Caenorhabditis elegans: one gene and its partner. The protein of the gene in region 2 purifies or fractionates together with the protein of the main gene of each other region. This does not show direct contact. Each region holds a gene or a part of one and is shown on either strand. Other genes may lie near its edges.

Evidence for each region. The genes of interacting proteins can lie anywhere in the genome.
Region 1: the proteins of znfx-1 (region 2) and glh-1 purify together in Caenorhabditis elegans (affinity purification with western blotting, with the first as the bait; one study listed by BioGRID). This does not show direct contact.

Annotation. Positions count from the first base shown.
Region 1 is NC_003279.8:6,852,493-6,858,131, forward strand, and holds glh-1 (ATP-dependent RNA helicase glh-1), read left to right. Parts: upstream 1-1,985; 5' UTR 1,986-2,319; coding exon 2,320-2,359; intron 2,360-2,416; coding exon 2,417-2,851; intron 2,852-2,894; coding exon 2,895-2,969; intron 2,970-3,017; coding exon 3,018-4,268; intron 4,269-4,316; coding exon 4,317-4,420; intron 4,421-4,466; coding exon 4,467-4,648; intron 4,649-4,696; coding exon 4,697-4,901; 3' UTR 4,902-5,044; downstream 5,045-5,639. Other genes in the region: sacy-1 (RNA helicase), read left to right, coding at 1-12, 130-266, 312-384, 433-606, 736-854, 917-1,164, 1,209-1,405, 1,453-1,572. UniProt on the Caenorhabditis elegans protein: Probable ATP-binding RNA helicase. May act redundantly with the P-granule component glh-4 to regulate the formation of the granular structure of P-granules in embryos. Plays a role in positively regulating the localization of pgl-1 to P-granules.
Region 2 is NC_003280.10:9,211,879-9,216,842, forward strand, and holds the start of znfx-1 (NFX1-type zinc finger-containing protein 1 homolog), read left to right. Parts: upstream 1-1,823; coding exon 1,824-1,990; intron 1,991-2,037; coding exon 2,038-2,243; intron 2,244-2,292; coding exon 2,293-2,407; intron 2,408-2,451; coding exon 2,452-2,538; intron 2,539-2,588; coding exon 2,589-2,684; intron 2,685-3,334; coding exon 3,335-3,773; intron 3,774-3,884; coding exon 3,885-4,205; intron 4,206-4,251; coding exon 4,252-4,964. Other genes in the region: ZK1067.4 (Transmembrane protein 151 homolog), read left to right, coding at 293-443, 525-920, 964-1,146. UniProt on the Caenorhabditis elegans protein: Epigenetic inheritance factor which, in association with the Argonaute protein wago-4, mediates small RNA-directed transgenerational epigenetic inheritance and thus balances the transgenerational inheritance of epigenetic information.

The sequences.
Region 1 (5,639 bases), on a different chromosome or scaffold from region 2:
ATTGTTCCATCGGTATTCTTTTTAAATTCAAAATCGTATAAACTTGAGTTCAAACAATTTCTGTTGTTAAAAAAACTTTAGCAAAATCCGTCAATAATTCCGTTTTTAATTTTGAAATATACTTTTCAGAGAGAATTGGCTCGTCAAATCTTTGACCTGATCATTGAAATGTTTGATGCTCTTGGAAAAGCTGGACTTCCAGAAATGAGAGCTGGATTATGTATTGGAGGAGTCCCAATTGGCGAACAAGCTAAAGACGTTAGAGAGTGAGTGATTAGAATTTCGAATTTTATGATTTTCATTATTTTCAGTGGTATTCATATTGTTGTTGCGACACCAGGACGACTATCTGATATGCTTACCAAGAAAATTATAAATTTAGAAGTAAGACATAACTTCAAAGATTTCAAAAATTGCTTCAATTTATTACAGGTTTGCCGTTACTTAGTTCTAGATGAAGCTGATCGAATGCTTGATATGGGATTTGAAGATGAAATTAAATCAATTTTCTATTTCTTCAAAGCTCAACGGCAAACTCTCCTTTTCTCGGCTACGATGCCACGAAAGATTCAATTTTTCGCAAAATCAGCACTGGTCAAACCTATTGTAAGTTTTATTTATGCAATCGAGAAGTTTCAAAAATATAATTTTTTAACCTACTCCCAAAAGTTGTCATTCTTCAATTCTTAAAGAATAATTTTTCAGGAGTTTGTCTGTAAATTATAAATATTTTAGGTCGTAAATGTTGGACGTGCGGGTGCTGCTTCATTGAACGTACTCCAGGAGCTTGAGTTTGTTCGATCAGAAAACAAATTGGTTCGTGTACTTGAATGCCTTCAAAAGACTTCTCCCAAGTAAGATTTTATTTATCAGAAAATAATTAATTTAGAAATATGGCAACGGTTTTATATTTCAGAGTTTTGATTTTTGCCGAAAAGAAAGTTGACGTTGACAATATCTACGAGTACTTGCTTGTAAAAGGAGTTGAAGTTGCTTCAATTCACGGAGGAAAAGATCAAAGTGACCGTCATGCTGGAATTGAGGCATTCCGAAAAAATGAGAAAGATGTACTTGTGGCAACAGATGTTGCATCAAAAGGACTCGATTTCCAAGGAATTGAACATGTTATCAATTTTGACATGCCTGAAGATATTGAGAACTATGGTGAATTTCTTATTTATTTTTCATAATTGAATTTTTATTTTCAGTTCATCGAATTGGTCGTACCGGACGTTCCGGACGGAAAGGTCTCGCAACGACATTTATCAACAAAAAATCGGAGATGTCAGTGCTTTCCGACTTGAAACAATTACTCGCAGAAGCAGGGCAGGAACTTCCAGAATTTCTCAAAATGTTGGCTGGTGACGAGGAGGGAACTGCTCCAGCTGGCACAAATGCGGAAAAGGTAGTTAGAAAACATTTAGAAAATCGGGAAGTTCAACATGTTTTCAGGGATGCGCATACTGCTCCGGTCTGGGTCATCGCATCACAGATTGTCCAAAACTCGCTGGAATCGGAAACAAAACGACGCAAGCATTGGCAAGAGGTGGAGGCGACGATGGTGGTTTCTGATTATTTTATTCATACATTGTATCTCAATCTATTTATTTACTGTTTTCTTGTTTACATTTATAAAAATATTTGTCAGAATTGTACTATTTATTTCATGTTTAAAAAAAGTCTGGATTTCCGAGAAAACATGAAAATAATTAATTGATCGAGTTCATTGAAAAAGAAAAATGAATTAAATGCATTCTCAAAATTCTTTTTTTTAAAGGAGACACCACGGTTTCAAGATCTGATGGGAGTCCGGATCTACGTTTTCCGGATCTACCATTTCCGGATCTACGTTTTCCGGATCTACGTTTTCCGGATCTGGCACCGTGCAAACTCTTAAAACGCTATTTTTTCGAAGAAAAAAGTGACAACGACGCTCCGATGTTACGCGTCGCGTGTTGTTAAGCGTTTCTTCTAGAAGAAAATTTCGAAAAAAGTCGTGCGTTGAAAAGCGTTTTGTGCGTTGGCACGGTGCCAGATCCGGAAAACGTAGATCCGGAAAACGTAGATCCGGAAAACGTAGATCCGGAAATGGTAGATCCGGAAAACGTAGATCCGGAATCCCATCAGATCTTGAAACCGTGGTGCCTCTTAAAGAGTCGATTCTTTAAAGGAACACAGACTTTCACACCGTTTAGGTTTCGCCACGCGCCCCAACTACAGTAACCTCGACACACTCATCTACTAAATTTTGGGACAGTTCCTAATTCTTTTTGCTGTTTTCAACTCAATTTTCTGGAAAAATCTTAATTTTCTGCGAAAATGTCTGATGGTTGGAGTGATAGCGAAAGTGCTGCTAAGGGTGAGTTTTATTTTGAACTTTCCACCGGTTTTATTTTGATTAAAAACTTTATTTCAGCCAAAACTGGATTCGGTAGTGGAGGCGGTTTCGGTGGTGGTAACAATGGAGGATCTGGGTTTGGTGGTGGTAAAAATGGAGGTACTGGATTCGGTGGAGGAAACACTGGCGGATCTGGATTCGGTGGAGGAAACACTGGCGGATCTGGATTCGGTGGAGGAAAGACTGGCGGTTCTGGATTTGGAGGTGGAAATACTTGTGGATCCGGCTTCGGTGGAGGCAGTACAGGAGGATCGCCGTATGGAGGAGCCAGTTCTGGATTCGGTGGTAGTACTGCCACATCTGGATTTGGAAGCGGTGAAAAATCAAGTGCATTTGGAGGATCAGGTGGCTTTGGAGGTAGTGCAACTGGATTCGGAAGTGGAGGAGGATCCTTTGGAGGTGGCAACTCTGGTTTTGGGGAAGGAGGACATGGCGGCGGAGAGAGAAACAATAGTTCGTTTTTTAAATTGACTTTATATAATTACGTTTGTTTCAGATTGTTTCAATTGCCAACAGCCAGGACATCGATCGAGTGACTGTCCAGAGCCGAGAAAGGAAAGAGAGCCGAGAGGTTTTATTTTGATATAACTTTATTGGCAGTAATTTGTTTTATTTTCAGTGTGCTACAATTGCCAGCAACCCGGGCACACCTCTCGTGAATGTACAGAAGAACGCAAGCCGCGTGAGGGTCGCACTGGTGGATTCGGGGGCGGAGCTGGATTTGGAAACAATGGAGGAAATGACGGTTTCGGTGGGGACGGTGGTTTTGGTGGAGGCGAAGAACGTGGTCCAATGAAATGTTTCAACTGTAAAGGCGAGGGACATCGCTCTGCTGAATGTCCGGAGCCACCCCGTGGATGTTTCAATTGTGGCGAGCAAGGTCATCGCTCGAATGAGTGCCCCAATCCAGCCAAGCCAAGGGAAGGTGTTGAAGGAGAAGGACCTAAGGCGACATACGTGCCAGTCGAAGACAACATGGAGGACGTTTTCAACATGCAGAAAATTTCGGAAGGCCTTATGTTCAACAAGTTTTTCGATGCCGAAGTTAAACTGACTTCATCCGAGAAGACTGTCGGTATCAAACCTTGCAAGACATTCGCGGAAGCTAATCTCACGGAGACCATGCAGAAAAACGTTGCTCATGCTGGATACTCCAAGACCACTCCAATTCAGCAATATGCTCTTCCACTTGTTCATCAGGGATATGATATCATGGCTTGTGCTCAAACTGGATCAGGAAAAACCGCTGCATTCCTTCTGCCTATCATGACTCGTCTCATTGACGATAATAATCTGAACACTGCCGGAGAAGGCGGTTGCTATCCCCGTTGCATCATCTTGACTCCAACTCGCGAACTCGCTGATCAAATTTACAACGAGGGAAGAAAGTTTGCTTATCAAACAATGATGGAGATCAAACCAGTTTACGGAGGATTGGCTGTCGGTTATAATAAGGGTCAGATCGAAAAGGGAGCCACGATCATTGTCGGAACTGTCGGAAGAATCAAGCACTTCTGTGAAGAGGGTACCATCAAGCTTGACAAATGCCGCTTCTTTGTTCTTGACGAGGCTGATCGTATGATCGATGCTATGGGATTCGGAACTGACATCGAAACTATTGTCAATTATGACAGTATGCCGAGGAAAGAAAATCGCCAGACACTCATGTTCAGTGCCACTTTCCCCGATTCTGTACAGGAAGCAGCTCGCGCTTTTCTCAGAGAAAACTACGTGATGATTGCAATCGACAAGATTGGAGCTGCAAACAAGTGCGTCCTACAGGAATTCGAGAGATGCGAAAGAAGCGAGAAGAAGGACAAACTTCTAGAGCTTCTGGGAATCGATATCGACAGTTACACGACCGAGAAAAGTGAGTTTTTCGTTTTCTTATTTGATGAAATAAATTTCAATATTTCAGGTGCCGAAGTTTACACAAAGAAAACCATGGTCTTCGTTTCTCAAAGAGCAATGGCTGATACACTGGCTTCAATTTTGTCATCGGCTCAAGTTCCAGCTATCACGGTTGGTATATTTCATTTTTGACCGCTTTTTAATTCAAAATGTACAGATCCATGGTGCCCGTGAGCAGAGAGAGCGTTCAGAAGCTTTGAGACAATTCCGAAATGGATCGAAACCTGTTCTTATTGCTACTGCGGTCGCTGAACGTGGACTTGATATCAAAGGAGTGGATCATGTCATCAACTATGACATGCCAGACAACATTGATGACTATATCCATCGTATCGGAAGGTCAGTTATATTTTATTAATGTTTCAATAATGCAAGCATTGTTTTCAGAACTGGAAGAGTTGGAAACTCTGGAAGAGCTACAAGCTTCATCTCGGAGGATTGCAGTCTTCTGTCCGAACTTGTTGGTGTTCTCGCCGACGCACAACAGATTGTTCCAGACTGGATGCAAGGTGCTGCTGGAGGCAATTACGGAGCTAGTGGATTTGGGTCCAGTGTACCAACTCAAGTCCCTCAAGATGAAGAAGGCTGGTAGAAAACCGACCAATTGATAGTGTTTCGCATTTATTAATGCTGTCAGTTCCCCCATATTTTATCCTGCCCTTGTTGATTTTTAATTGTATTTGTTGGTGTTGGTTGTCGTTATAGTCCTCGCCGCATAAACTCTGTTCAATATCATGCTGTTCACGACTTCAACTATTAGTTGCATATTAAATGAAAAGAATTTTAACAAGCAAACTAGGCAATATGATCTCATATCACATTGCTCTCTCAGCTAATCAACTTCAATAATTTGTTTTCCGATTCTCCGCGGCGAGCATTTTTCCGCATACAGAAACTTTAGGCTCAATTCTTTATTTATTTTCTTTTTTGCTCTTCTCTCACTCGCTCATTTCCGGTCGATTTACATTCGTTTTTTCGCTTTCCTCTCACCTGCTTTTTTGCTCCCGTATTTTTTCTGTTGGCTTTGCCATTCCATTTACGGTTTGCTCAGTGATCACAATCAGGAAATAGAGTTTGAGAAGAAGAGTATTAGGGAAAAGAGGAAGAGATGATGCTTAGTTTCTGTTTCGCTGTGGCATTTCCTGTGTGCTTGTCTATCAATTTCTTCAAATATATTTTTAGTAATACTGTAGTAAGGTGTATTCTCAGTAGCACGTGGTGGGGTCCCACTGCGAGAGGGGTACTGTAACATACAATTTTTTGCGAAAATGTTTTCAGCTCCTATCTGCAAGTCGTCATCTCATTTTTTCTTAAATAAGTGCACATTTTC
Region 2 (4,964 bases):
TATCGACTGCACGCCGTTTTCCTCTGTTGAGAGAAAAGACCTGGCGGGAACAGAAAGTGTCAGTCATATAGAGCATTTTCATATGCGAAGTGTATAAAATTTATATTTCTACAAGAAGTTGCCTAAAATAGCCACAAAAATAGTGTTTTCGAATTTTCTTCAATAAAGGGATGTGGCTCAAAAACGTTGAGTTCCATCAATCATTAGGCATTTGGCAGGAAGAAAAGATTAGCTACAGCAAAAAAAGATAGAAAAGTAGTATAAGTATTTATTTTTCAAATACATTTTCCAGTCCGAATTCGGTCAACTACACGGGGCCATTAACCAGAACATCAACTATGGATACTGTTGAGTTGGAGGCATTGTTGAGGAGAGAACAACATTTCGTTGTACCATCGTACAGTGAAGTTATGCTCATGCAAAATACGATTGCTAATTCAAATGTAAGGTTTTTTTTAAATATTAAAATTTTAAGATCATTTGCTCCTGATAAATATTTATTAATCGCTCTGATAATATTGTAGACCAATTATCCAAATATTCGATGCCTGGACCCTGTGATTCTTCCACGACCATTCGTGAGTACAACTAACGAACATATCGTACTTCGGAACTATGGAGCAACAGAAACCGACAATTCACTATCTGAGCCCATTACAGCAACGCCGAGACCTCTTAGAGTTAGCCGAAGTATGACATTTGCTGCTCAAGGAAATCTCGAAGAATCAGCTGAGAATCTGAGTTGTTTAGAAAACGGAAGTAGAGCAAATCGTGCTATTCCATCGAGTCGGCGGAATTTGCCGTTACGTTCGTTATCGATAGGTGGTATTTCTGCTTGGTCCAATGGTTACAGAGAAATTGGAAATCCTGATGATTCACAACTACTCATTGAACCAGATGAACCACCTCCACCATATGAGGTCGGTTTTCAATTTATAATGGAAATGACAATTTATTTCTCAGGTTGCTCTCAGAATGTGTGCTCCATTATATGAACGCCTACGACGATCAATATCTTCACGATTGGCTTCAATTTCTCACTCGAGCTCGAAGGATTTGAAGTCGCTAACTTTGAAAAGTAGTTCTAGTAACAATAATAACAATAATTCAAACAACAATAATAACGATGATCCAGAACATCCATAAAATCGGGTATTTTTTCACATGCGGACCAATTTTAAGAATTGTTAAACGTTGGTGCTTGAAATAAATAATTTTTCTGATTTTTTTTTATTTTCAAGTTTAAAAAAATTGTGTTTCAAGTTATTCGATTAAAAGCGTTGTTTTTATTGCCTTATTAAATGGTAAAAAGCAATCAATTTTTAAAGGAGCGTCCACTGAATACGAGGAGATGGTCTCGGCACGAAATATAAAAAACTACAGTACCCTTGGAAGTATTGGCGCGGAAATTTTTTTTTATTCAGTTATTTATCTGTTCAGTTTTCGTATTTTTGATGTTAAAACTCCATTTTTCTCTTCAAAATTTGTATTAAAAATCACTGGGCAACGCATTTTCACTATTACAGAAGTATTTTTGATGAAATCTTCAAGAAATTCACATGTTTCTTTGTTTAAAATTTTAGGATTTGACGGTTTCGGTTTTTAGGCCAAAAAACTCCGTTACCAGTTTTAATTTCGTTCTGATTCCGTGAGGCAATGCTTCACTAATCACATTTTTCACGAAATACAAAGTCTTGCTTGAAAATTTAACAAAAAACTCCAATACTCTCGCAAAATCTTGAATATGGCCATTTTATTTGATGTAATTATTTCTTTTACAGATAAATACTTCAAACCAACCAATCCATCTATCTGACAAGCTAATGTCCAGAGATAAACCACCTCAACGTGAGGTTGGCGGACGTCGGTTGCCCTACGAAATGGGTTCGTTGAAGTTCGACGAAGACCCGTTCCGCGGACAGCGCCGGCGTCCGTGGATGTGCTTCAGAATCGGCTATCCGACAAGCGAGTTCTCATCAGAGCACTTCATGTACGTTCAAATTATTCAAAAATTATTGAAAAAACGTATTGTTTCAGGAAATTCGTGAAAAGGTGTCACACTTCGATGATAGAAGTAGGTATTCTTCTCGATGATGAACGGGAATTCCTGCAATATCAAGAAGTCAGGGAAGATTATCTTCTTCTGAAAAAGCTCATCGAGGAAGGTCTGCAGAAGTGTGAAACGATCTATGAAAAAGGACCGCTGTCGACTCCGGTTGTTTTTTTCATTTTAGACCAGTGCGGTAAGAAAAGTAAATTATACATAACGTGTATAAATATTCACTCATACAGACGAAGACGAAGTCCAAAACATGCTGGATATGTTTAGGGAGTCTTGTTATATCTTCCATATGAAACGCAACGAAATTCTCAACTGGATCAACGAAATGGAGTATGAAGAACTGGAGTGAGTAAATGTTCAGCATAACGTCGAAAAAATTCATATTTCAGAAGTGACTGCTCTAAATTTGCACAGTTCATCAAAGGAGTGGAAAATCTGACGGAATCCATCGCGATGCCCATGGAGGTAGAAACAGAGTAGGCTATCTAGAAGGAAAAAATAATTAAAAAACATCTAACTTTCATAGAGAATTCATCTTTGGAAAGAGTTCGATTGTATCGACCGAAGACTTTGTTGAAGACGCCCCTCACAAGCAGATCGCACAAGATCAACGCGAAACAAGGTATCGTTACCATGTTGTAAACTTTCTATTCAAAAATTTTGCAATATCTCTTCGTTCATATTAGACTTATGGCCTAGCTATTTCTTTCTTTTTCCACACGTCCAACATAGATAGACAGTTCGAGACGTAGAGAAAAACAGAAAAACCGTGACTAGTTGCTTCCCCTGTGATTGATATGCTTTTTTTTCACAAATTCGAAAAAAATAATCTGAATAAGCATGTTTTCACATCAGAATTTGTTAAACAGTGTGTTTGGAAATACTGAAATATTCCCTTGACTCGCAGGATTTAACGAATAATTATTTCAAAATTTTCGATTGTTTTTCTCAATAACATCAATAATTTTTCCTGAATTCCTGATATTGCTTTTAAAAATATATAATAGAATTGGTGACCTTTGTTAAATCATTGATAATCGCAGTGGCTTTTGTTTTTATTCTCGTTTCATAAACAACGTGAATCGTGGTAGCGGAAAAAAAACCACATTTATCGTGTTCCCATCTTTCCCCAGAAACCTGGCCGCGTTCCTTTTCACTGTAGTAAACGCGGATTTTTGTGGGCATACTGATTTCGTTAGAAAATACTTTTTCTTAAAATGCTAGAGCTCTCCGCGTTCTCTCATAATGTATAATTAAATTATCTTGTTTCAGACCAATTCGCCAACCGTATTCAATGGTCAGAAACCTCGCCCCCCCAGGGCTCCCGCCGCCTGGAATTTCGATTTCAAACAGTTCGCCTCCTGGATTATCTTCAGTTTCGCCAATTCCCCGAGCAGATACACGCGAATCCCGTTATTCCACCCCTCAACCACCCGGATTGTCAATTCCAGCACCACCTGGAATATCTCTTCCAACTCCACCAGGAATATCTCTTCAAAATCATCAGAATGATCAATTCGAGCAAGCTCATAGTACCATTTCGAGAATGAGCGAGAATAGTTCATCTTCGAGGCGTCGATTCCGCGATGAAGAAGTTCAGGAAGAAGAAGGAGATCATATTCTATCGTCTGAAGATGTACATGCTGCGCGGAACGTGTGTGAAACCAAAATCCTTGTTAGAGGAGTTCCGCAAAAGAACGATTCTGAGTTGGTAAGATCTATTCATTTTTGTGATAAACTGCAACCTGTGAGTTATTTCGGCAATTTCCGGAAAACTAATCTTCAATAAACACGAAATTAATATTAAAATTTTAATTTTCAGTCCAAGCTCATCAACGGATCAAAACTATACGTACGGTTCGAACGTCCGTTTGTAAAACTAGCTCACAATCTAGAACTTCTCTACGTTGTCAATTATGCTATCAGTTCTCGAAAAAGTATTGTTCGGGATCACAGTAAAGCAATTATTCGCGGATTGTTCGAAAAGGATTTTCTACTGAAGCTCAAAAGTAAATTCCTGGAAAGCTCGTTTGACAATGACACGTGGACTCCCGAGGGTACAGAATTGCTATTCGAAATCTTTCATTTGTTTTTCACAACGGCTCGATACAAGGGTGGATTCATGCTGACACTTCCGAGATTTGTAAGTTGAAATAAACTGAAAATTTTAAAAGTAAACATTATTATAGGCGCCGTCTTGGCATGATTTCTCGATGGCTTTCGATATTGCTGACATGGATGGACTTGAGGAAGCTGGTGTGGGTGATGATGAGCTTAGAAATCTTAGGAGGCTGATTGGTTACATTGAAACATGGATCAAACGGGCAGAACGGGAACGAAACCCCAGTCCATTGGCGCTGCGGTCATATTCAGTGTACGAAAAAGCTGGTTCTTCTGACAGTGGACGCCAAGTTTTATCTGAAAGTCGAGGTGCAGGTTCCAGCAATGTTTATGGTCATGACGAGGTGGATTTCGTCGATCACAGACGCAGAGACGAGTTCGGACATCGTGATAACTACCGGACAGAAAACCGTCGCCATAAAAGCCCGGACAATTTTGGAGAAGTTCACAGAAGGCTCGATGAGCAACAACAACAACGACATGAGGATGAATCATCAAGATATCGCGATGACTCGAGACAGTCTCGACGAGCAGATGATAGAAGAGATCAATATCAGTACAACGAATCAACATCTATGGAAAATCACTTGGGGTTTCACAACGGCGGTGGCACCGTCAGTGAGCACTCACGAGATGATAAATTCGTTTCGCCTCAAAATTGTGAAGAAAAACGCAAATATTGCGAAGAGGACACAGATGCGAAACCACAACAACCATATCGCTTTGAGGAGATAAAATTCGAACCAATTTGGGTGAAATGTGAAAAATCAGAACCGCCAGA